Linked DNA regions of Macaca fascicularis. The protein of the gene in region 5 purifies or fractionates together with the protein of the main gene of each other region. This does not show direct contact. Links are inferred from orthologs where the notes say so. Each region holds a gene or a part of one and is shown on either strand. Other genes may lie near its edges. The genes, in order: RECQL4, PKN2, TRIM33, MARK4, PNMA2 and CEP290.

Region 1 (4,021 bases), about 120 Mb from region 5:
TGGAGATGCCTGTGTGGGGCGCGAGTCAGCAGCGGGGTTCTGCAGCCTGGCCTCAGCCCGGCCTCAGCCCCGGCAGCCACGCTCACCAGACAGGATCCGCATGACTGCACGCTCCTGCCCAGGACGGAAGGCTTGGTGTCCCAGCTGCTCCAGGGCCTGGAACACCTCAGCCGGCGTCTCTGCAGACACAGGTGTTGACCACCATGACTTAAGTCACACCAACCCCTCGGTAAAGGCTCTGGGCCAGCAGCTGACTGCTTACCTGCCAGCTGCCCTGAGGGCCCCAAGGAGTAGAGTGGCAGCATGGTGGAGGCCAGGCCGGGCACCCCAGGCACAGGTTGTGGTGCAGGAACCAGCGGCTCAGGGCCAGCAGGGTCTGTGTCTTCCTCACTTACTGGGGCAGGCAAGAGAAGGTGGAATGGGAGCTCCAAGCAAAACAACCATTGGCCACAACCTTCTCTTCCCCCAAAGGGGTTGGCAGCAGGCAGTGCCCTTCTTCTGTGCTACTTCTTTTAAAGCATAAAAGGTTGATACCCATCCTCATCCTTGCCACCCTGCTTTGGGGGAGCCAGAGTAGGGCCTGGACCAGGGGCACCTGGAAGGTCTTTTGCTTGGAACAGAAGTGTCGCCCAAAAGAGTACCGTGCCCTCTCCACAGTGGTGGCCAGACCCACCCTCCAGGGCAGATGTCTCACCTGGCTGAGGACACTGGGGTGCCCAGTGATCAAACTGTTCATTCAGGAAACAAGACTCCTTGATCGTGACTGTGGCACCACCACCCCCAAAACACTCCCCTTTCTTCCGCCACTTCTGCTTCCATGCCTGAAGGGTGCCCACATAGGAGGGTCACTGGGTGGGACATGCAGGGGTGCTGAGGGGAGGGAAAGGGAGGGCCTGTCCCAGTCCATCGCCGTCTCACCTGCTTGCGGAGGAGCCTGCCACGGAGTGCCCGGCCCTGCACGTAGCGTTTCTGCTTCATGTTGAGCCGTACGTAATTGCCCCTGTCATGGCGGGCCAGCCTAGAGATGTGCAGATGGGCTGTGCCCTCAGCCTTACCCGCCCTAGCTTGACTGGAGGTGCTGAATCTGTGGTACCTGGGGGTCGACAAACTGCTGCAGGGCTGAGGTGGCTGTGCCTGTACAGGTTCCCCTGGAGGGTCTTCCTCAAGTGCGACAGCCCCAGCCCCCTCCGATGGGGGTCCAGCCTGGCTGCTCTGCTGCTGGACCTGTGCGGGGCTCCCCCAGAGCTCCTTGTTCCGTCTCTGCTTCTTGCCTCGACTGCTGCTGGGCTGGGGGCTCCCTGCACGGATGCTGACTTCTTGGAGGGCTGAAGCCTCTGGGTCTGGGGAGCCAGCACCAGGACCAAGGACAGCTGACTCACCCGGGATCAGAAGCTGTGATTCCTCTGAGCCTAGGCCAGGCCTGCAGGCTTTGGGGGCCCCCAGAAAGTCTGGGATCTCACTGTGACATCGCTGTAACCAGTCAAGATCTAGGGAGGCCAGCTGCTGGCTCAGGCATGCCTGCAGGTGCTGCAGCTGGCCCGGCCTTGGCTGGGGCCCAGGGGGCTGTGGAGGCTCATCACTGACTTTTTCTGCAAAGGTGGGGACAGGCCTTGTGCCTGGGGGATTTGGGGTGGGCGTCTTGGATGAGGATCTTCCTAGAGGCCAGGGTCTGCGGCCTGGGGCTGGTCCGGCCTGGGAAGGGAACAGAATGGCAGCAGAAACTCAGGCCCCTGGGCTTCTGTAGACTCTGAAACCTGCCTGAGTTCCCACCTTCAATGGTAAGACAGGCTAATTAGCACAAGGCTGGCCTAGAAAGGGAGTCAAGGGCGAAGGCCCCGAGAAACTCCGTGGAGACTCGTGCCCTGGTTGGCACAGGAGCCTGTGCCTGTCTGTGTGGAAAGAGTGACAAGAAACAACCCCGGGCCAGAAGCACCTCTGGACCTAGTGTGGACTCACTGCTTGCTAACTCCTCACCTGCAGGGTGCCTTTCAGGTTGGCCTTGAGCCGCTGCCCGTAGTCCGGCACCGACCCCTGGCAGCTCCGCCCTGGCGTATGTTGTGGACTGTGGGTTGCAGCCCGATTCAGGTGGGGCCCCCAGCAGTGGGACTCTGGTGCCTGCAGGAGACAGTAGGGGCGCAGGCCAGAAAAAGGCTGGTGTGGAAGCAGAGGCGCTCCCACCCACCCCCTCACACCTGGAGCGAGGCCCGGCCCGTCTTCACTTTGCTCAGTCCCCCTCCCAAGTTCTGTGCCCCACGGAGGCCTGGCCGCGACTCCGTGGCTCCTGCCACTCCGCCAAACAGGAAAGTGGGAGGAGGCTGGGGTGGCGGGGCCTGGATACCTCTTCGACGGCCACGGGGAGCAACTCGGAGCTGCGGGGCCCGCCGCCGGCCTGGCCCACGGTCCGCTTGAGAGTACGATACTCCCGGTAGAGCGCTGCGTGGGCGGGCGGGAGGCGGGGTCAGGGTGGAGCCTGGGCCCCCGCCGACCTGGCGTCCTCCCGCCTCCGTCGACCCGGGACCCCGCCACCCCGCCGCGCGCTCACCGCGGGTCTCCTGCGGCGCCGCCTCCACGTCATCCTGTAAAGGGAACGCGTCAGCCGCGGGCCGCGCCCTCAGCCCCTCGGCCCCAGGGCATCCCGTACCTGGCTCGGCCGCCGCCCGCGCTCCCGCCGGAACGCGCGTTCCCACGCTTGCAGCCGCTCGCGCACATCCCGCAGCCGCTCCATGGCGGGCCCGCCAGGTCTCCGAGCAGTCCAGCGGCCGCCCAGCGAATCTCCCGCGCCGCAGACGATGGGGCCAACAGCCAATGCGGGCGCGCGGCAGGCCGGGGGCGGGGCCACCGCGACCAGGCAGCCAATCCGCCGGGCCCTGGACAAGCAACCAATGGGGGGCGCCGACGTCATCGCGGGGCGCCGCGGCGCCGTGCGGGGCGCGGCGGACGGTCTAGGCGGGGCCGGAGGCGGTGGCTGCGGCTGCGGGACCGGTGAGCGCAGGCGGCCAGGCGGGGGTCGGAGTGGGGCGGCGTACGTCCCTGGCCCTGCCTGGCCGCAAGGGGCGTGGCAGCGGTCGCTCGGGGCGGCCCGGCTGAGGGAGGCAGTAGCTGCATTTGGGAGCCCGGGGCCGAAGCCGGGAGCCCGGGCGGTGCCATAGCGGGCCGGGAAGGACTGGGAGTCCCCCGGCCGGTCGGAGCGGCGTCAGGCCCTGGTGGGAGACGCACCTGGCTTGGAGGAGCAGGCCCCGCCCGGGACAAGAAAGAGCGGAGGGACCAGCGCCTCCCGCGACTCGAGGCCCAGAGGAGCCGGGCGGGGGCGTCTTTTCGAAACGCAGGCAGCCGAGGGCCGACGCGTTCCCCGTGGCCGGCGGGAGGGGCGGGGGCCTCGCACGGAGGTGCCTGCCTCCCTTGGTGGCCAGGCCGTCTGCTTTCGTGTACTCCCGTGACAGGTGCTCGGTTGGTCTGTCCTGTCAGAGCGAGGTATGACCGTTGAGATCTCAGAATGAGACCGAGGGTTGGTGTCTGGGACTTTTCAGGAAGCGGTTCTTTAAGGACTTATTTGTATGTGCAAAAACAAGGGCCCTGGGGCCAGAGTGTCCTCCCTAGACCCCTTCCCTGACTTGTCACTCAGGCTGTGACCTTGGGCCAGGCCTAGGCCTTCATTTTCTAATCTGTCACAGGGAGATGGCTGCGATTTAGTTTTGAGGATGCTGCAGTCAGCAGCAGGGCTGGCACCCTGTGTCACAGGTACCTTGTGGCCTTGGGAGTGTTCGCGCGCATCTCTGCAGCTTGGGTGCTGCTTAGGCAGCTTTCTTTGCCTTGTCTGAGCAATCTGTAGCCTTGCACCTTCCGAATCCCACATACTTAAGACTTGTTCTTTCCACAGTGGCTCTCCAGGGAAGAGGGAGAGGTTTTAGGCCACTGGTAAGAGCCACCAAAGGTGAAGGTTGCTTTCTTTCAGGGGTCTTCGTGCTTGGTGACACTCTGGAGAATAGTTTTTTTTGGGGGGGGCTTATATTGAAGGCTTGGA
Region 2 (3,953 bases), on a different chromosome or scaffold from region 5:
AGTATTCCTGAGACAGGATACATAGCAAAGTAACAGTTTTAACCATTAAATACATCTTAAAACTGGCTACAGAATTTCTTAAATACTTAAAATCTGTATGGCAGAAAAGAATTAAGAATGTCATATTAAACAGTATTTCAGTCTAAGTTCAAACAATTTAGAAGCTTTTAAAAAAACTGATTCTTGAAACGAAAGTTTAATAAATACTTGGTTACTGTACACTAAGTTTCAGGACCCAATGAAATAAAATGTTTGAACGGATGGAAATATTTGGTGAAGCAAACTTTATGACTATCTTTAGTGTTGATGTAAGTAATATTCTCAAAAATTTTAATAAACACGATAAAGTTTAAATGCAATAACTTTTATCAAAACTGGGAGTCAAATAAACCAAGAAAATGACTTGGATATATGACAACCTATAAGGTAACACTTAATAAAAACTATTCTTTTTTCTGGAAGGGGTTATATTTCAGTTTATCTAGAAGCTTAACTTTAGGTGTTCCTCTATTTTGGTCATATTTCTAAGTCATCATATTGAAAATTTCTTCCTTCTTTGCTTGCTTCCTTGTTATTACCAAAATTGATCTTTTTAATTAAAAGATCCTAAATGTTGTATTTTAATACACATGAAAATATAATTTTCAGTTCCAGTGCCAAAGTAGGTGTCTTTTATGCCAATTTTCTATAAAATACAAGTAACAATGCCAAATATATTATAACTCGAACACTGCTCAATTCAAAAGAAAACTGACCCTATCATCCTTCTCAATCAAAACCAAAGTATGTTTTTCATGGTTCAAGACCAGGTAATGTAAAGTATTTCTCACTTGCCTCACATCATCTCCATTTTAAAAGCTGATGCAAATTATTTACTATTAATAAAATAGTAAATTACATTCATTTAGCAAATGTGGTATGCTGTACGATCTGCTTATAAAAGGCTAACTGTAATTAAAATATTACATAGCAACATTTTCAATGATATGAAATTCAGCTTTGCATTACCAAAGGATTCTAAATGTGCAACACTGCATTGGTATACATTGTTACAATCTCTATTTTTGTGGAGGAATATCAACTATTATACCAACGTTTTCAACCTTACGTCTGACTGCACAAGAAACCAAACTTATAAAGAGATTTCTTAAAAAGTGTATTTAAACAAGAAATTTAGATGCAGTTGCAATACTTAATTTTGACATCAAGAATCAACTGTTTCAGAATTTCTAGATTTAGTCTTTCTTTAAAAAAATTAACTGTCCAACACACAAAAAGACATGCAAGCATGCTATTTTTTTCCCTAATTCCCATCTACAATCTTCGAGTAGCTAAAAGATAACTATATTAAAATAAAGCAAAATAACTTTTAAGTCAAAAAAACATGAAATTTTAACATCTTTGTTAAAATTCAGATGTAAACACTTCTGGAACACTGCCAAGTAATGAAAAACCCGACAGGGTAGCTTAAGTCCCCATGTACACCATAGAGATCTAAAAACGAAAATCGTGCCTACATCATCAAATATTTAGCTGGAAATGGGAAAATAATAATACTGCTACTCGACATGGACTTAACTAAGCGATCTATTTTGCTCTTATCTTTTGCAGACATGTGGTGCCCAAGTTTTCCCTTTCTCATTAGTAAACAACTTATATAGCTCTTTCTCTGGTGCTCAAATGAGAGGGAAAATGAAAGTCTGAAAAGCATCAGCATCTGAGCTTCCGGATCTGGGCAGGGGTAGCCGAGAAAGGCACCGTGTATCTATCACTTAGTTTAAAAAAAAAAAAAAAAAAAAGGAAAAGAAAAAGATAACTCTCAAAATAGAGGAAAGAAATTCTGCCACCTGAAGAGGGCTGGCGAAGTGAAGCAAGCATTTGGTGAGACTCGTTTTTTTAAAAAAAACTTGTCTAGGGGCTGGAAGTTATGGGGGCGCTCTTTGTGCGGAGTCTGAGGGGAGGGGGAGGGACAAGAAAACAGCTTGGGAGTCATTCAAAAGAGTTTAAGGAGCCGAGTACGGAGGAAAGGCGGGGCGGGGCCCAGCCGCGCGAAGGGAGGGGGCGACAGGGGCGTTCGCGGGCAGCTCTGACACCGCGGGAGGGGGCGACGGGCCGGCCTCTCCAGGGACCGGGCGAGAGCAGGCTCCAGCTGCAGCAGGGCTGCAGAGATGGGGTTCCCTCTGGTAGGCAGAATCAAAGCAAAGCGGTGGCAGGCCAGGGCTTTGGCGGGGGAGAGGGTCTGGCTCCCGAGGGAAGCGGTTCCCCGAGGGAAGCAGTTCCCGAGTGACATCCCGGACTTTCCGCACTTAGCGGGCTAGGGGCGCGGCGGCCGCAGGGCTTTCCTTGGTCCCCGACGCCGCGCGGGGCTCTTTCCCTGTCTACTCAGCCAGCGACTCTCGCCAGGGCCGCGGCCCTTACCTGCAGTTCCGTGAGCATAATCTCCCCCCGTTCGGGGTTGGACGCCATTGCGCTCCGGTATGGACTCCGCACCTGGAGGCGGCCGCCGCTGGCAAAGGGAGAAGGCGGGACGGGGCTCAGGGTGGGGGGTGAGGAACGGGGAGAGAAGAAAAAAAAAAAACACAAAAACTAGGGATTCATGGAGGCGCAGCCCCTGCTGGAGGCGCGGCTTATTCCGTCCGGTTCATCGAGAGCGGCGGGGGTGCGAGGGCACTCGTAGCGGGCTTCCTCTCGCCGCCCGCCCGCCGCCGCCGCCGCCCGCACCGGACTGTTCGCCTAGTCGCTCCCTCTGGGCGACGCCAGGAGCCGCCTCAAGTCTCTCCGTGCGGGGCGCTGCGGCCGCGGCTGTAGCTCCTCCTGTCGCACCATTTGGCTGTCACCGCGTCGCAAAAGCGGCCTCACTTGGCGGCTGCCAGCACACGTGACGGCGGCAGTCACTGCCTCTCATCGGGCTGGGAAGGTGGGGCAGAGGGGTTCCCCAGGGCTAGCAAGGCGAGAGGGCGGGGCGGCTTCCGACCCGACTCCGCGCGAGGGCAGCCATTGGACTCGGCTGGGGTGAAAATGAGGGGAAAGGACTGGGCTGGAGTCTCTGGGGAGGCGGGAAGAGGAAGAAAACACACGCCTACTTTCCTGCTGCGTTAACGGCCTCACTGTGAACACTAGAACTCGGGAGCCTGCTCGCTGTTGTTTTTTTAGGTTTTTTATTTTTTTTCTTTTTCTTTTTTTCCCCCCAGTTCTACCTTGCCGAAGCTTGGGCCTAACTTTAACAGGCACTTTTGTAACCTCCACAACCCAAAAAGCTTCGGAACTCAGATCTTACAGATTACTCCTCTGTTCTTCCCTTGCCCGGCCATCCCCATCAACCCAAACTAATAATCTTGCCTTTTGCTCACCCTCTTCCCCAGCCCACAGCGCGCCTTCTGGACCAGTTAAGGTGCGCAGCTTGCTAAACGGGTCTGGTCTGTACTTTTCATGAAATGTAAGCGGCTGGATCCCTGGCAACTTTTAATGCACAGCCTTTAAGATGCCTTTTTCTTGAAGCTGAACTACTGTTTCTTGTGCTGGAGAACTCTAGAGCTGAGAATTAGCTGGTTTTTTGGATTGTTTTAACTTTATTTAAAGAGGGAGGAGGTGGGACGGGATTACCCTCGGGAAAGGAAAAAAGCCAACTCTCCTTGTCGTGGTAAGCATTAAAGCTAACCTGACTACTTAGTAACATATAGCTAAGTAGAGTAAATCTAGGTGTTTGTTTTTAATGACACTGTAGTATTAAGGAATTTAGAAGTCTCCCACAGGTAGCTTTTGTTTTTGTTTTGTCTGAGCAGTGAATGGATAGGTAAACACGTAACTTTCAATTTTTTGAAGCTGCGGTGCAATTCCTTTGTTAAAAACTACCTGGAGAAAGTGGTAAGGGTTATTTAGGTAGGTTGCTACTTAGGAAGGACATTCGTTGACATAATTCTTAGGAAGCGTAATATTACGTACTTGTCACACGC
Region 3 (3,500 bases), on a different chromosome or scaffold from region 5:
GGCTCAAGCAATCCTCCTGCCTCGGCCTCCCAAAATGCTGGGACTACAGGTGTGAGCCACCAGTCCCAACCAAGAAGCGTGTTATTTTAAGGAGCTCTTTCTCGACATACATGGACCAAAAAGTTGAAGGACCACTGTTCTAGGACAGTGTTTCTCCAACTTTACTATGCAGACTGACCTGAGAGACTTAGTACAAACTTAAATATTACTGAGTACTCCCCACCTAGAAATTCTGATTCAGTGGTTATGGCTAGGAATCTATTCTGACAAGGTCGCCCACCCCACCCAAGCTGACTGGTGATTCTGATGGTCTTTAAAACATGTTTTGAGAAACATCATTCTAAGAGTTAAAAAATAAACTCTATTGTAACTAGAAATCCTATGAAAAAGTGGCCTCACTTTATACTCATATCTCCCATATAAACATAACTAGGCAAAGATTATGAAACATGTATCTAAATACACTTATTAAAACGTATCTACATCCTAAAAGGAACAATATTTGAGTACAGAAAAGGTTAAAAAAAAATACAGTTAGCTCTATTACTCTCAAAGCCCTTTTTATATATTAGGATCAAAAAGTCACATTAAAAGAGCAGAGCAGCATTAAGGTTCTTGCTATTTTATCACTGCTTTTTGGGATTGTGGGTAAAATCACCAGCTCATTAGATTTGTTTTTCACTTCTGTAAATTGAATGGGTTAACTATATCAGGGTTTCTTAACCCATAGTATATGATGCACTTAAGGCAATTTTTAAAAGCTCTTAAAATTAAATACAAAATCTCATGTGTATGTTTATTTTTCTGGGACAAGAGGATATACAGCATTAATCAAATTCTCAAACATATCAATGACCTGCTCCCAAAAAGTGATTAAGAAAATGGTGTCTTTTAATTTTAAAATTGTAGGATTCTTACAAATGTAACTCTAGGCATACTTGTCTTTGGAGGTGTGGCTGCATCATGGAATACTGAGGGCTGCTGTGCCTGGGTATCCCTGGTATTCTGGCAGCATTCTGAGCGAGTCTCATCTGATGGGCTTGAAAAGCTCCACAGTTCATGTTGCCTCTTTGCATTGTTTGCACACTGATCAATCGAGGAGGCTACAAAAAGTAGAAATTGCAATTTATGTAATAATTTTAAAATAAACTTATATTTTAATTATAAAATGTAATCATAAAAATAATTGAGTCAAGATAAAAGGGTATCAAGTAAAAAGTATAAATAATTCTTATCGCTAGCCCCAATCCCCAGAGGACTGGTAATGACTAGTTTGTGTATCACTCCCTAATTTCCCTTTTCTCTCTCTCTCTTTTCCGTTCCCTCTCTTTCTCTCTGTATGTGTGTTTAAAGCGTATCAACATTAACTTAACCCATTCTGGATTAATAGTTTTGATTGGGATGGCAGTGGAGACAGCAAAAGACACATACGGATAGGAATGATTTGAACAAATGCCTAAGGAACATATCAGATCCCAGGCAGAAACAATCTGGTCCTTTGGTCCACACAATTACACGTGGAAAACAAAAAAGATTTGATGTGAAAGGATGAGAACTTACATCCTTCCACAGTATTAGTGAATTAATTCTGTTTCCCAAGAAAATTTATTTACTGCCTTTCTTCATACCTCCCTTATATCACCATCATAACCACAGCAAATATTTAAACTCTGACTTTTGAGCTCTGCTCAAAGTCCTGCTAGTAACTCTGAAATGTGTAACTTTCTTACATAGGAAAAACTGTCACGTTGAGGACTTCATAATTTCTATCAATAATGTAGTAACACCATACTTACCTGTTGTTGTAACATCTGAGGGGCTGCTTGTCTAGGATGCTGTTGTGTTGTTGTTGTTGTAGTTGGTACAGGTGCTGGTGGTTGCTGCATCCTCATCTGTTGCAACTGCTGATGTTTCTGTGCATACACTTGTTGTTGCATGTGCTGAAGTCGAAGCTGTGCTAAGTTAATCTGTCCAGGGGTTTTACTAATGTGGTTTGTCCCTGGAGGAACTTGCCCAACTACAACATTAGGAGTATAACCAGGAGTTGGTTTACTCTCTATTACTAGATTACCTGAAAAATTTAAAAAATGAGAATTTGCATATAATCAACTAAATCATCTACTTTGTTGAGTAATCACCATGTTTTCCTCTTTCCTCTGACAACTACCAGCACCTCAAAGCTCCAACGGTACAGCAGGGAATGGAGTCAGTTTAAAGATGATGATGATGATGATCAGAAACTTAATACATTCCAAAGCTGAATAAATGACTTTTGGTTATTCAGAAAAATATATTCTCTGCCTTTATTCTTTTTTACACAGACGTACAGAAAACTAAGAGACTAAAAGAGATATCTATTAGAAGAGGCCTATCGAATCAATCTAAATCAATTCTCCCATGACAAGACTTACTCAAGAATACTCGAGATTGCTAATACTGATTCCATCTGCCTTTGAATTGCCAAAATATGCAAGGCAGAGCATTACAATGCCACAAAAGCATCTTCTGAGGAAATACTGAATGCTTTAAACAACTTATATCCTTAGAAGTGATGGTTTTCCTTGCTTTTTACGGAGCCATAGATTTCCAGGGACAGAAGCCAAATTTTAGGAAGATGTGATTTAAGGTGCAGGTTGACAGGCTTTTCCTGTAATGGGCCACAGAGTAAATATTTTATGCTTGGCAGGCCACATAAGATCTGTCTCACAGTCCTTGGTTTTTGTTTTTACAACCAGTTGAAAACATAAAAACCATTCTTAGCTACCATGTCACACAGAAACAGCTGGCTGATGCCAGAACTAAGGCTATAGCTAAATTTGAATATAATTTTTTTCTTGTATGCAAAGATTACTTTTTTTTTTTTAAATAACAGAAGGGCAATCAGCCTCTGCTTTTACAATTCCCACTGTTTAAGACTTAACTGTTCTGAAAGTGAGTTTACTCAATCTGTAGATAGCTTACTCTAATTGCTAAGAAGTTTGTATGCATGTGTTTTAATTGAGCTCTCTGTAACTTTCATCTATGGTCTTTAGGTCCATACTATGCTGTAAACAAAAGCAAAATCCATTTCTCTTCCATGTGAAAAGAGCTACTCTTATCTTTCAAACATTCCTCAGGACCTAACTACTGGACACATTAGCATCCTAAAAGTCTGCTGCTAATGCACAATTTGGCTTAATTAAACAACTAAACACCTATGAAATTATTCCAGACAATGAATCATTTGCTAAGATTTCTATACGAAACAGTCAATATAAATTTAAAAGATAGCGGGTCGGGGGTCTAGAAACAGTACACATTAAAAAAATATATACAGAGTAGACTCTCAACTTTCTTAAGACGTAATGACTGGCATACAAAACCACAGCTAAAGTGAGTTTCCAATGAATAACAACATATTTTTACATAAAATGTAAAACGTAAATAGTTTTATATTTTAAAGTTAAAAATTTTATCTAAATTTGCTTTATTTTCTCCTCCTAATTCAGTGTTCCAAGTTA
Region 4 (2,714 bases), on a different chromosome or scaffold from region 5:
ATCCCAATTACTGGGGAGGCTGAGGCAGGAGAATCGCTTGAACCCAGGAGGCGGAGGTTGTGGTGAGCCGAGATTATGCCATTGCACTCCAGTCTGGGTAACAAGAGCAAAACTCCCTCTCAAAAAAAAAAAAAAAGCCGGGCGCGGTGGCTCAAGCCTGTAATCCCAGCACTTTGGGAGGCCGAGATGGGTGGATCACGAGGTCAGGAGATCGAGACCATCCTGGTGAACATGGTGAAACCCCGTCTCTACTAAAAAATACAAAAAACTAGCCGGGCGAGGTGGCGGGCGCCTGTAGTCCCAGCTACTCGGGTGGCTGAGGCAGGAGAATGGCGTAAACCCGGGAGGCGGAGCTTGCAGTGAGCTGAGATCCGGCCACTGCACTCCAGCCTGGGCAACAGAGCCAGACTCAGTCTCAAAAAAAAAAAAAAAAAAAAAAAAAAACAGAAATTTCTCATTCAAACCATGTGGCCAAGCCAGGCTGGTAGGGCCACCCGGATCTGCGCAATCATTCACGTCCCCAGGTTTTTCCATCCCCATTCCCTGAAGCCCTCATGTCATCTTCACAATTGAGGCTGGCTTGTGCCACTGCTCAGTCCAGCTCCTGGGAGATGCGGGACAGGAGAGCCTGGAGCATGCAGGTTCTCTGAAGGAACTGATGTGGTGGCACACCTCACTTCTGCTCATGTCCCAGAATTTAGAGACAGGGTCACACCTGGCTGCAAGGGAGGCTGGAAAGTGTGGTCTCCAGCTGGGGGGCAGCTCTGTTCCAGTTGAAACTGTCACTGGCATAGCAGGGGAAGTTTTTTGAGGGGACGGCTAGGAATCTGTCCCAAATTGGGAAGAGGTATCCCTTCAGCCCTCCACCACATTCCTCTTCGCTCCCATCTCTGACCCCTGATATCTTCTCACCTCAGTTGCCATCTACCTTGGGATCAAACGGAAACCGCCCCCCGGCTGCTCCGATTCCCCTGGAGTGTGAAGCTGACCAGCTCGCGCCCTCCCGAGGCCCTGATGGCAGCTCTGCGCCAGGCCACAGCAGCCGCCCGCTGCCGCTGCCGCCAGCCACAGCCGTTCCTGCTGGCCTGCCTGCACGGGGGTGCGGGCGGGCCCGAGCCCCTGTCCCACTTCGAAGTGGAGGTCTGCCAGCTGCCCCGGCCGGGCTTGCGGGGAGTTCTCTTCCGCCGTGTGGCGGGCACCGCCCTGGCCTTCCGCACCCTCGTCACCCGCATCTCCAACGACCTCGAGCTCTGAGCCACCACGGCCCCAGGGCCCTTCCTCTTCCTCTCCCTTGTCCCCTTCACTTCTAAAGGAGGGGAAGGGGCCAGGGAGGGGAATTCTCCCTTTATCATCACCTCAGTTTCCCTGAATTAGATTTGGGGGCAAAGATTGTCCCCTCTGCTGTTCTCTGGGGCCGCTCAGCACAGAAGAAGGATGAGGGGGCTCAGCGGGGGGAGCTGGCACCTTCCTGGAGCCTCCAGCCAGTCCTGTCCTCCCTCACCCTACCAAGAGGGCACCTGAGGAGACTTTGGGGACAGGGCAGGGAGGGAAACTGAGGAAATCTTCCATTCCTCCCAACAGCTCAAAATTAGGCCTTGGGCAAGGGCAGGGAGAGCTGCTGAGCCTAAAGACTGGAGAATCTGGGGGACTGGGAGTGGGGGTCAGAGAGGCAGATTCCTTCCCCTCCCCTCCCCTCCCGCTCAAACCCCCCACTTCCTGCCCCAGGCTGGCGCGGGGCACTTTGTACAAATCCTTGTAAATACCCCACACCCTCCCCTCTGCAAAGGTCTCTTGAGGAGCTGCCGCTGTCACCTACGGTTTTTAAGTTATTACACCCCGACCCTCCTCCTGTCAGCCCCCTCACCTGCAGCCTGTTGCCCAATAAATTTAGGAGAGTCCCCCCCCCCACCCCAGTGCTGACCCTAGAATTTTCCTTCCCTGCCCTCACCTGCAAATGAGTTGAAGAAGAGGCCTGGGAATCCAGGCAGTGGTTTTTCCTTTCAGAGCCTCGGTTTTCTCATCTGCAGAATGGGAGCAGTGGGGGTGGGAAGGTAAGGATGGTCATGGAAGAAGGCAGGATGGAACTCGGCCTCATCCCCGAGGCCCCAGTTCCTACATCGGGCCCCCCATTCATCCACTCACACTCCCAGCCACCATGTTACACTGGACTCTAAGCCACTTCTTACTCCAGTAGTAAATTTATTCAATAAACAATCATTGACCCGTGCCTACTCCATGCCAGGTCCAGTGCTGGACACAGAGACACAAAGCCCTGTCTGTGGGAGACATGGATTCTGACACAGACACTGGACAGGGGAGTCCAGAAGAGAAAGCGGGCAGGGTGGGGTCACTGGGGAAGATGCTCTAGAGGAATTAATGCTTGAGTGGAGTGTTGAAGGATGAGTAGGAGTTGGCTAGGCATTGAGTTTGCCCTGGGCAAAAGCCCAGAAGTGGGAGTATGTGGTATATCTTCAGAGAACTGGGTAATTTCAGTGTGGCTACTGTGTTGGGCATGGATGGAGAATTAACAAGAGAAATGCTGTATTAGGACTAATAATCCATCTATACTGCTTAAGCAAAAAGGTATTTGTTGGCTTAGCTTACTCAATAGTACAGGGGCACCTGACTTCAGGTAGGTTTGATCCAGGCATCAGACCATTGCATCTATTTTTCAGTGTAAGTTGAATTCTAGTAGTTTGTATCAAGTAAGTGCA
Region 5 (4,180 bases):
TTGAACCTGGGAGGTGGAAGCTGCAGTGAGCCGAGATCGTACCACTGCACTCTAACCTGAGTAACAGAACGAGACTCTGTCTCGAAAAAAAAAAAAAAAAGTTAGAGTTCCTAATACCTCCCAGTTACTGCTGCGGAGTATGTGTTAAGGGGCTACAACCATTTCCCCCTTGGCCTAAACATCTTCATCAACTCGAATGGGGGCCATACGCCACAGTGCTGTCCTGTAACTCTATCAGCAGTGCTCCTGCTGTGGGCACATCTCCTGAGTCTTCTAGGAGGTGCTGAAGGCACCAGCGGTGCCAGAGAGCCAGGAGGGCAAAATACTGCTTCACCCTGTGCCCAGGAGTCTCACAGACCTGAGACTGCTGACTTCTCCATGCCTGACATTTCCTTTCTAAAATGTGGGGGCTGTGGGGGAGGGGCAGGTACAGTGGCTCACACCTGTAAACCTAGCACTTTGGGAGGCCAAGGCGGGAGGATCACTTGAGCCCGGGAGTTTGAGACCAGCCTGGGCAACACAGTGAGACCCTGTCTCTACAAAAAGGAAAATAAAAAAATTAGCTGGGCGTGTGGCAGTCGCCTGTAGTCCCAACTACTTGGGAGGCTGAGGAGAGAGCCGAGCGGATAAAGGCTACAGTAAGCTGCGTTTGCACCATTGCATTCCAGCCTAGGTGACAGTGTGAGACTCTCTCTGAAAACAAAAACAAAAATAAAAAAACAACTGGGGGCAACCTTCCTCCCCACTGGGATATTTAGAGGAAACAGGGAATGTAAAAAGATACTGCCCAGGAAAAAGCATCTCTACGGTCTACAGAATGACTGCCATGCTGAAGTTAGGCTGTCTTCGGATGACTCTTCCTGCCAATGTGACCTGCAGTGTGACATTCAAATAAAAACATGGCAAAAAACACCCTTGATATACAATAGGGCCATGGATGGAAATATCTGGATACGGTAGAAATAGAAGAACCTTGTATTTTCTCACATAAAGGGGGTCACAGGACAAGCTGGAAAAGAAGCCAGACTTTGAGGTGGAAGCCCTCACTGGAATTGTTGGATCATTTAACTAAATACCCAACCTTGGCGATGCGCCCCAAGCTCTCTTAATCTGTTTCTTAACCTGGAAAGCAGTGCTGATAAGGCACGCATCTCAGAGGGGCTGTGAGGAGGAAATGATATAATTCATTTCCTTGGAATGAAGAAGGAAGCGCTTTTTTCAAATGCTTTATTCAAATGCAAAGCACATCTGGCGCTAAGTCCAAAATGCGCCCTCGGGTTCTCTCAGCCCCTCCACTCCTATATTCTTCCTCAGTCTCTCTTTCTCATCCGGAGACGCCTTTCCACCTATCACGGTGGGCTGATCTTCAAACTGCGACTGGTTGTCAACCAGATGTAACTCTATTCACCAAACTATCTCTCACAATTGGATGGTGGGGGTGGTTGGTAACCGCATTTAATCCTGGGCTGACAATGGGATTGGATTCCTGGTTACACGGCCCTGCGCGGTCGCCCTGCGGTAAATGGCCTCTCAGCCCAAACCCACCCTGGTTTACTGAGCATGCCCAGACCTCCCTCCCGGGCCACCAAAGGAGGGGCACCATTTCTGCAGGATTTTGCCACTGTGGAAAGAGAGGCGGAGCTGTCATCGCGCAGAGGCAGGGACTGATAGGCGGAAAGGACGTGGAGATGGGAATAAGTAATGAAGGACCCGCATTGACCGTGTTAGCACACAAATCTAATTGCCCTCTGGTGCAAACTTACCACCCTGTGGCCGTGGCTCAGCTACCTGCACACACACACCAAGTTCCTACACACCTTTCCCCCGCTTGGCCCCACACAATTCATGGCACTCACAGCCCACATCCTACCTCCTTCTCCGCACCAGATACGCACCCGCACTCACTCCCCAAACACGTGGCATCTGGTAACCTGGGAAACGCCGCGGCTGTGGCGCAGTGCGCAACAGGGGCGGGGGAATCAGGCGGGGCACTGGGGCGAGGGAAGCTGGAGATTTGGGGAGGGGGTTTCTATTCGTTTTTTCGCCCACTTTTTGTTTTTTGTTTTTTTGGTGGGGGAAGCAGAATAAACCAAACCGCGACACGTTCCTGCGCCCTTCTTGGTGCAGTGGCGCAGACATGGTCCATGGCGCCTTGGGCAATAGAGCAGGTCTGCACCCCCTCTCTAAGTCGTGGCACTGGGCTGGAATTCCCGACTGCACCCTTTGCTACACCCCCATAGACCACAGACCTGCGTCTCTCTCTATGTTCCTCTCCCATCTGCTACGCCCCTCTGCATTTCTTCCCGCCATGTTGTGTGTCCCCCAACTCCCCCGTCACCCCAACCACACCAAAGTGGATGCACGAAGCGGGAACCTTCTCGTTTCAGTCTCTGCTCCGTGCAGCCTGCCAAGGCGAGTGGGCAAACTGAAGCTTGGGTGTCCAGCGTCTTGGCTGCCCCCCTCCTGTCCACCCTGCGTGTGCTACCCCTTGTTCATCTTCAGTGTCAACCCCCTTCTCATACCCTGAGTAGCCTGGCGCATGGCTTGTCCCCTTTTCCCATCCATCAGCTCACACCCAGGGTAACGGGGCGGGAGCCCTATCCACAGTGCGCCCTCGCCCCCGGCCCACCTCCGCCATGCGACGGGGCAGAGGCGCCTGGACCAGGCAGGTGGAGGAGAGGGGCACTGGGGCAGAAGGCTGCGCCCTCGGGTCCTCACTCCGCGTGCCCTGCCCAATACTTACCCAGGCGCGGAGAGCGGTCAGCAGGCCCTCCGCTCCGCATCCATTAGCTGGTGGTCTGGCCGCTTCACTTCCGGAGCGCGGGGCTAGGGGCGGTGCCGCCCTCCCCTCTCTCTCTCCTTCCCTCCCCTCCAGCCCTCCCCTGCGCGCTGCTCCCCTCCCCGGCGCCGCGCCCCACCCGCGCCTCCCTCCTCCCCGCGCTGCCGGGAACTGGCAGCCTCTCGGCTCCCGCAGCCGCCGCGGACGCCCTCCCAGATCCAACTTTGCCGCTTACCCGAGCTCGCGCTGTAGCCGCGGGGGGCGTGGGCAGGGAGGGGAGAAGCGGGGTCAGGGGGAGGGACCGGGAGGGTGGGTCGCCGGCTCGCCAGCCCTCCTTCCTTTCTGTGCACCTTGCGGTGGGCGGCGAGCGGCAGCCGCGGCAGCAGCTAGGGGGCTTGTGCACACAGCAAGGGAGAGTTAGGGACTGGCAGACGGACGGACGGACGGCGAGGACCCTCCCTGAGCCCCCGAGCCATGGCCGAGAGAAAGCAATCCGGGAAGGCGGCAGAGGACGAAGAGGTCCCTGCCTTTTTTAAAAACCTGGGCTCCGGCAGCCCCAAGCCCCGGCAGAAATTCTGTGGCATGTTCTGCCCGGTGGAAGGGTCCTCGGAGAACAAGACCATCGACTTCGACTCGCTGTCGGTGGGCCGGGGCTCGGGGCAAGTGGTGGCTCAGCAGCGGGACGTCGCCCACTTGGGTCCGGACCCGCAGCCGCCGTACTCGCGGCAGGGCCGGCGCGCCGGCGGGGAGCCATCTGTTGAATCGAGCCGGAAGGTGGAGATCCGGAGGGCCTCGGGCAAGGAAGCCCTGCAGAACATCTACGACCAGGTCGGTGTGGGGGTGGGGGGTGGAGACGGAGGACGGGGCTCGGGGATCGCCCCTCCCTCGCCCCTGAGCCCGGCGCGCCCGCCTTCATGCCCCGCCCTGTACCTCGCCTCCCGCATCTGCACGCGCACCCCGCCCTACCCGCCCCTTCTCCGCGCAGGGTGCGGCGAGGCTCGGGCTGGGCGGTGGGCGACCGTGAGCCCACAAAGGCTGCCCGAGTCTCCTTGAGCTTGAGAGGTGGGGGGTGGGCGTAGGGGATGGGCTGATCACTTGCTGGGGCGGGCGGTGGTCGCCTGGGAGGGGGTTGGCCGAGGTTCCATTCTTCTGAAATCCTCCCGGGCGGCTTCCGATGGCAGCTGCAACTGGGTGCCCCACCCTTTTTTTGAGGCGGCTCGGAGCGTGCGGTGGAGGCTTTGCGTGAAGGCCCGCGGCTCCCCGGTGGTCGGGAGGGGTGGGGGTTCCGACGGCCGCTCCCCGCAGCCTCCGCCGGCGCCTTCTGCGCTCACGTCCTGAGCTCCGAGGCCAGGACCATGGTCAGCGCCCCCCGGACCGCCTCAGAGCACCGCACCGCCCTTG
Region 6 (3,500 bases), on a different chromosome or scaffold from region 5:
TAGATACGTGTTATTCTAATGTTCAGAATAAATTATGAACTGAGGCTGGGCCTGTCAACTTGAACACTGTGCGAGGGAACATGCCTACCGGTCTAAATACATACATATATGGAGATACTGTTTCTTCCTCATCTCGAAGGAATTTTAGAAGATTAAAGAGAAAATATATAAGGTCTTCAAAATGTGAATTTATTTTAATCACAATTTAAGATATAGTTTTGATTTTCTTTAAAACAGGAGCAAAGAGAAATTGTGAAGAAACATGAGGAAGACCTTCATATTCTTCATCACAAATTAGAACTACAGGCTGATAGTTCACTAAATAAATTCAAACAAACAGCTTGGGTAAGATTCTAAGAACTTTGTTCCATTCTTTATTGATTTTTAGACCAAATACATTAAAATTCAGTTATCTTCTCCTTTTTTGGAATACAAGTTACGCTTTTTGTTGCCAAAGTAATCTTCTGAAAATGTAGCTCTGATCATTCTTCCTCCTGTAGCTCATCACTGTTCACAAAATTATATTTATACTCCTTACCCATATACTCAATCTTCTATGAACTTACCTGCCTTTCTTTTCAAATTCTATTCACTATAAGTTTACCTATATTTAACTTCCGGAATTCAGCTCATATTTGCCTCTTTTGACCATTCTGTTCCATATGTATGAAATGATGTGTCTTTCATCTTTTAATGTATAACCTTAGCATATTTGAGCCTTACTTCATTAATTCAGTCAACATTTATTGATCTCCTGCTACATGTAGACACTTTGTTAGCTATTGTAAATACAAAGAATAAGGTCTATATTTCCTGTCTTCTTTAAGCCTTCATTATCTGTTAAATCATTAAATTTTAGATTAGATATTGTATTTTGATCATTTGAAGAACCAATTTAAAAATATAGAATAAGTATGGCATTGAAATATACATGCCTGTTTGCTAATATATTCATATTTTATAGGATTTAATGAAACAGTCTCCCACTCCAGTTCCTACCAACAAGCATTTTATTCGTCTGGCTGAGATGGAGCAGACAGTAGCAGAACAAGATGACTCTCTCTCCTCACTCTTGATCAAACTAAAGAAAGTGTCACAAGATTTAGAGAGACAAAGAGAAATCACTGAATTAAAAGTAAAAGAATTTGAAAATATCAAATTACGGTAAGTCTTCAAAATGTATTGTAAAAATAGGCAAATGATAATAATGATATAATGAAGATAAACATAAGTGTTTGCTATGCTAGGCACTGTTCTAAGACTTTTAAGTATATTGTCTCATTTTTATCCTCAGGTCTACTGATTACATATGTTATCATTTTCCCCATTTTATAGAGAGGATATGACCTCAGGAATGCTTAATAGCATGCCTGGGAGTAGATGGGAAAGCCATAATTTGAAACTAGTCAGTCTGACTCAAAAGCCAATACAAATTCTTTTCCAGAATCTCATTTTTACCTTATTCAAACCTCAGTTTCATCTTATTTATTTATTTATTTTTATTGTTTTATTTATTTATTTATTTTTGAGAAAAGTCTGGCTCTATTGCCTAGGCTGGAGTGTAGTGGCATAATCTCGGCTCACTGCAACCTTGACCTTCTGGGCTCAAGCTATCTTCCCACCTCAGCCTCCAGAGTAGCTGGCACTACAGGCAGGTGCCACCACACCTGGGTAGTTTTTTGTATTTTTGTGGAGACAGGGTTTCTCCATGTTGCCCAGGCTGGTCTCGAACTCGTGAGTTCAAGTGATCCGCCCACTTCGGCCTCCCAAAGTGCTGGGATTACAGGCCTGAGTCACTGCACTTGGCCTCATCATCTTTAAAATGGAAATAGCAGTACTTACCCTGGCCCTTTCAGGGTGGTTATATGAAGGTCAAATTATACCATGTATGAAAGTAATTTGAAAACTGTCAAATAACATACAGATAAAAAACTTTTGTTTGCACACTTATAAGAGTGTCTGGCATATAATAGAGATTCTAACATTGTTCAACCAATTTATCAGAACATAGATTTTAAGCTCAAAATAGGTTTATAGTTTCGTAGTTTCTAAACATTGTAGTATTATCTGTATGGGCCTAAATTTTATTATCTGAAAAAACATGAGAAAGTTGAACTACTTGACTTATAATTCCATTTCAGCTCTCAAGCCCCTATTAGAGCCTTTGATTCTTTACACTCTTATTCAAATGCCTATGACAGAATTAACACTATTTTTGTTTTACTAGGGAGCTGCCACTGTTAAGAAATTACTTTCTAAAAGAAGGAAAATTGGCAGCAGCATATGTGTATTTTCAGTCTCTTTTCCTTGCTCTATTAAATTTTGTACATGAGATGTTATTTTTGGTCTAGTAAATTTCTGTCATGTTTTGGAGTATAAAATGACTTGTGCTTTTGCATCCAATTTGTGGGTGTAGAAAATAATAATCTTTTGAAATACCTTATATAATTTTTTTCCACATGAAATAATTGAAGTTATTGTTGTGTACCTTATCATGTCATTGTAGCCCAAAATTGTACTTGTGTTCTCTGTGTGCCCATTTTGATGTATATTAGGAAATTATGGATCCGTGTGATTACTTAAGTAAAACCTGATATTTTCACAATTTGATGATGACTCTTTAAAGTTAGACTTAAGTTTTGCCAAAAGCAAGAAGCCTCAAAGAATAACATTTGTTCATGTGTTAATGCTGTCTCCCTCTTACTGGTCAGAACCTCAGTACGGATGCAGTGTCCATATGCACAACAATATATTAATTCAGTTTAACAGACTTAATGCTGAATGAGCAATAAGATTAATTGAATTAACTAAATCTTTTAATACTATCCACTTCCATATATATATATAGTTACAGATACAATGCTAGTGAATTTGTACCATAAACAAATAAATAATACATGTGATTTCTGTGAAAATTTATATTAGTCTTTTCAATATGTCAATATAGGGCAGTATTTCTCAAATATAGAGGATCAGTTTTTCACAGTTGTACCTCTTGGGGACATTTGACGATGTCTGGAGACATTTTTGATTGTCATGGCTAGGGGGTGCTACTGATATCTAGTGGGTAGAATCAAAAGATGCTACTAATCATCCTATCATACACAAGGCAACCCCACTAACAACAAAGAATCATTCACTCAAAAATGTTACTAGTAGTGTGGTTAGGAAACTATCATATAGAGGAAGCAGTCAAATTTTACAAGAGCCATAGTATCTAAAATGCCCTTTTGTTCATTCTCTATATTATTTGATTAGAGTCACAAAATAATTTGATAAGATTGTTGCCAAAAATATTAGAAACTAGAAGAAAAACGTGTTGTTAAATTAAAGAGTAGTTAAGTGAAATAAAGAATTACTCTTCTCTGGATTTGGCTGCCTGCATCAAGATTTAGATTGTAAGGATAGTTAGGACTGAACATTTGCTCTGTGTGAAATTTGTATTAATCAAGGTATTAATTGCAGCAACCACTCTATTAATTACATGTGTTTGGCCAGGT

What was found.
Region 1: the proteins of PNMA2 (region 5) and RECQL4 purify together in Homo sapiens (affinity purification with mass spectrometry; 3 studies listed by BioGRID and IntAct, with this or other methods). This does not show direct contact. The link is inferred for Macaca fascicularis from reciprocal best matches to the Homo sapiens genes PNMA2 and RECQL4.
Region 2: the proteins of PNMA2 (region 5) and PKN2 purify together in Homo sapiens (affinity purification with mass spectrometry; 3 studies listed by BioGRID and IntAct, with this or other methods). This does not show direct contact. The link is inferred for Macaca fascicularis from reciprocal best matches to the Homo sapiens genes PNMA2 and PKN2.
Region 3: the proteins of PNMA2 (region 5) and TRIM33 purify together in Homo sapiens (affinity purification with mass spectrometry; 3 studies listed by BioGRID and IntAct, with this or other methods). This does not show direct contact. The link is inferred for Macaca fascicularis from reciprocal best matches to the Homo sapiens genes PNMA2 and TRIM33.
Region 4: the proteins of PNMA2 (region 5) and MARK4 purify together in Homo sapiens (co-immunoprecipitation; 3 studies listed by BioGRID and IntAct, with this or other methods). This does not show direct contact. The link is inferred for Macaca fascicularis from reciprocal best matches to the Homo sapiens genes PNMA2 and MARK4.
Region 6: the proteins of PNMA2 (region 5) and CEP290 purify together in Homo sapiens (co-immunoprecipitation; 3 studies listed by BioGRID and IntAct, with this or other methods). This does not show direct contact. The link is inferred for Macaca fascicularis from reciprocal best matches to the Homo sapiens genes PNMA2 and CEP290.

Annotation. Positions count from the first base shown.
Region 1 is NC_088382.1:154,229,658-154,233,678, forward strand, and holds the start of RECQL4 (ATP-dependent DNA helicase Q4), read right to left. Parts: upstream 2,801-4,021; 5' UTR 2,726-2,800; coding exon of another isoform or gene 2,710-2,725; coding exon 2,642-2,709; intron 2,577-2,641; coding exon 2,543-2,576; intron 2,434-2,542; coding exon 1,975-2,433; intron 1,693-1,974; coding exon 919-1,692; intron 822-918; coding exon 695-821; intron 395-694; coding exon 263-394; intron 180-262; coding exon 87-179; intron 10-86; coding exon 1-9. UniProt on the Homo sapiens protein: An ATP-dependent DNA helicase which unwinds dsDNA with a 3'-overhang in a 3'-5' direction. Does not unwind more than 18 bp of dsDNA. May modulate chromosome segregation. The N-terminal domain (residues 1-54) binds DNA Y-shaped DNA better than ss- or dsDNA.
Region 2 is NC_088375.1:146,012,151-146,016,103, forward strand, and holds the start of PKN2 (serine/threonine-protein kinase N2), read right to left. Parts: upstream 2,801-3,953; 5' UTR 2,467-2,800; coding exon 2,419-2,466; intron 1-2,418. UniProt on the Homo sapiens protein: PKC-related serine/threonine-protein kinase and Rho/Rac effector protein that participates in specific signal transduction responses in the cell.
Region 3 is NC_088375.1:119,949,503-119,953,002, reverse strand, and holds part of TRIM33 (E3 ubiquitin-protein ligase TRIM33), read right to left. Parts: intron 2,072-3,500; coding exon 1,797-2,071; intron 1,104-1,796; coding exon 939-1,103; intron 1-938. UniProt on the Homo sapiens protein: Acts as an E3 ubiquitin-protein ligase. Promotes SMAD4 ubiquitination, nuclear exclusion and degradation via the ubiquitin proteasome pathway. According to PubMed:16751102, does not promote a decrease in the level of endogenous SMAD4.
Region 4 is NC_088393.1:53,353,924-53,356,637, forward strand, and holds the end of MARK4 (MAP/microtubule affinity-regulating kinase 4), read left to right. Parts: intron 1-917; coding exon 918-1,254; 3' UTR 1,255-2,214; downstream 2,215-2,714. UniProt on the Homo sapiens protein: Serine/threonine-protein kinase. Phosphorylates the microtubule-associated protein MAPT/TAU. Also phosphorylates the microtubule-associated proteins MAP2 and MAP4.
Region 5 is NC_088382.1:29,696,248-29,700,427, forward strand, and holds the start of PNMA2 (paraneoplastic antigen Ma2 homolog), read right to left. Parts: upstream 2,801-4,180; 5' UTR 2,744-2,800; intron 1-2,743. Other genes in the region: DPYSL2 (dihydropyrimidinase-related protein 2), read left to right, coding at 3,254-3,607.
Region 6 is NC_088385.1:95,016,416-95,019,915, reverse strand, and holds part of CEP290 (centrosomal protein of 290 kDa), read left to right. Parts: intron 1-237; coding exon 238-345; intron 346-964; coding exon 965-1,164; intron 1,165-3,500. UniProt on the Homo sapiens protein: Involved in early and late steps in cilia formation. Its association with CCP110 is required for inhibition of primary cilia formation by CCP110.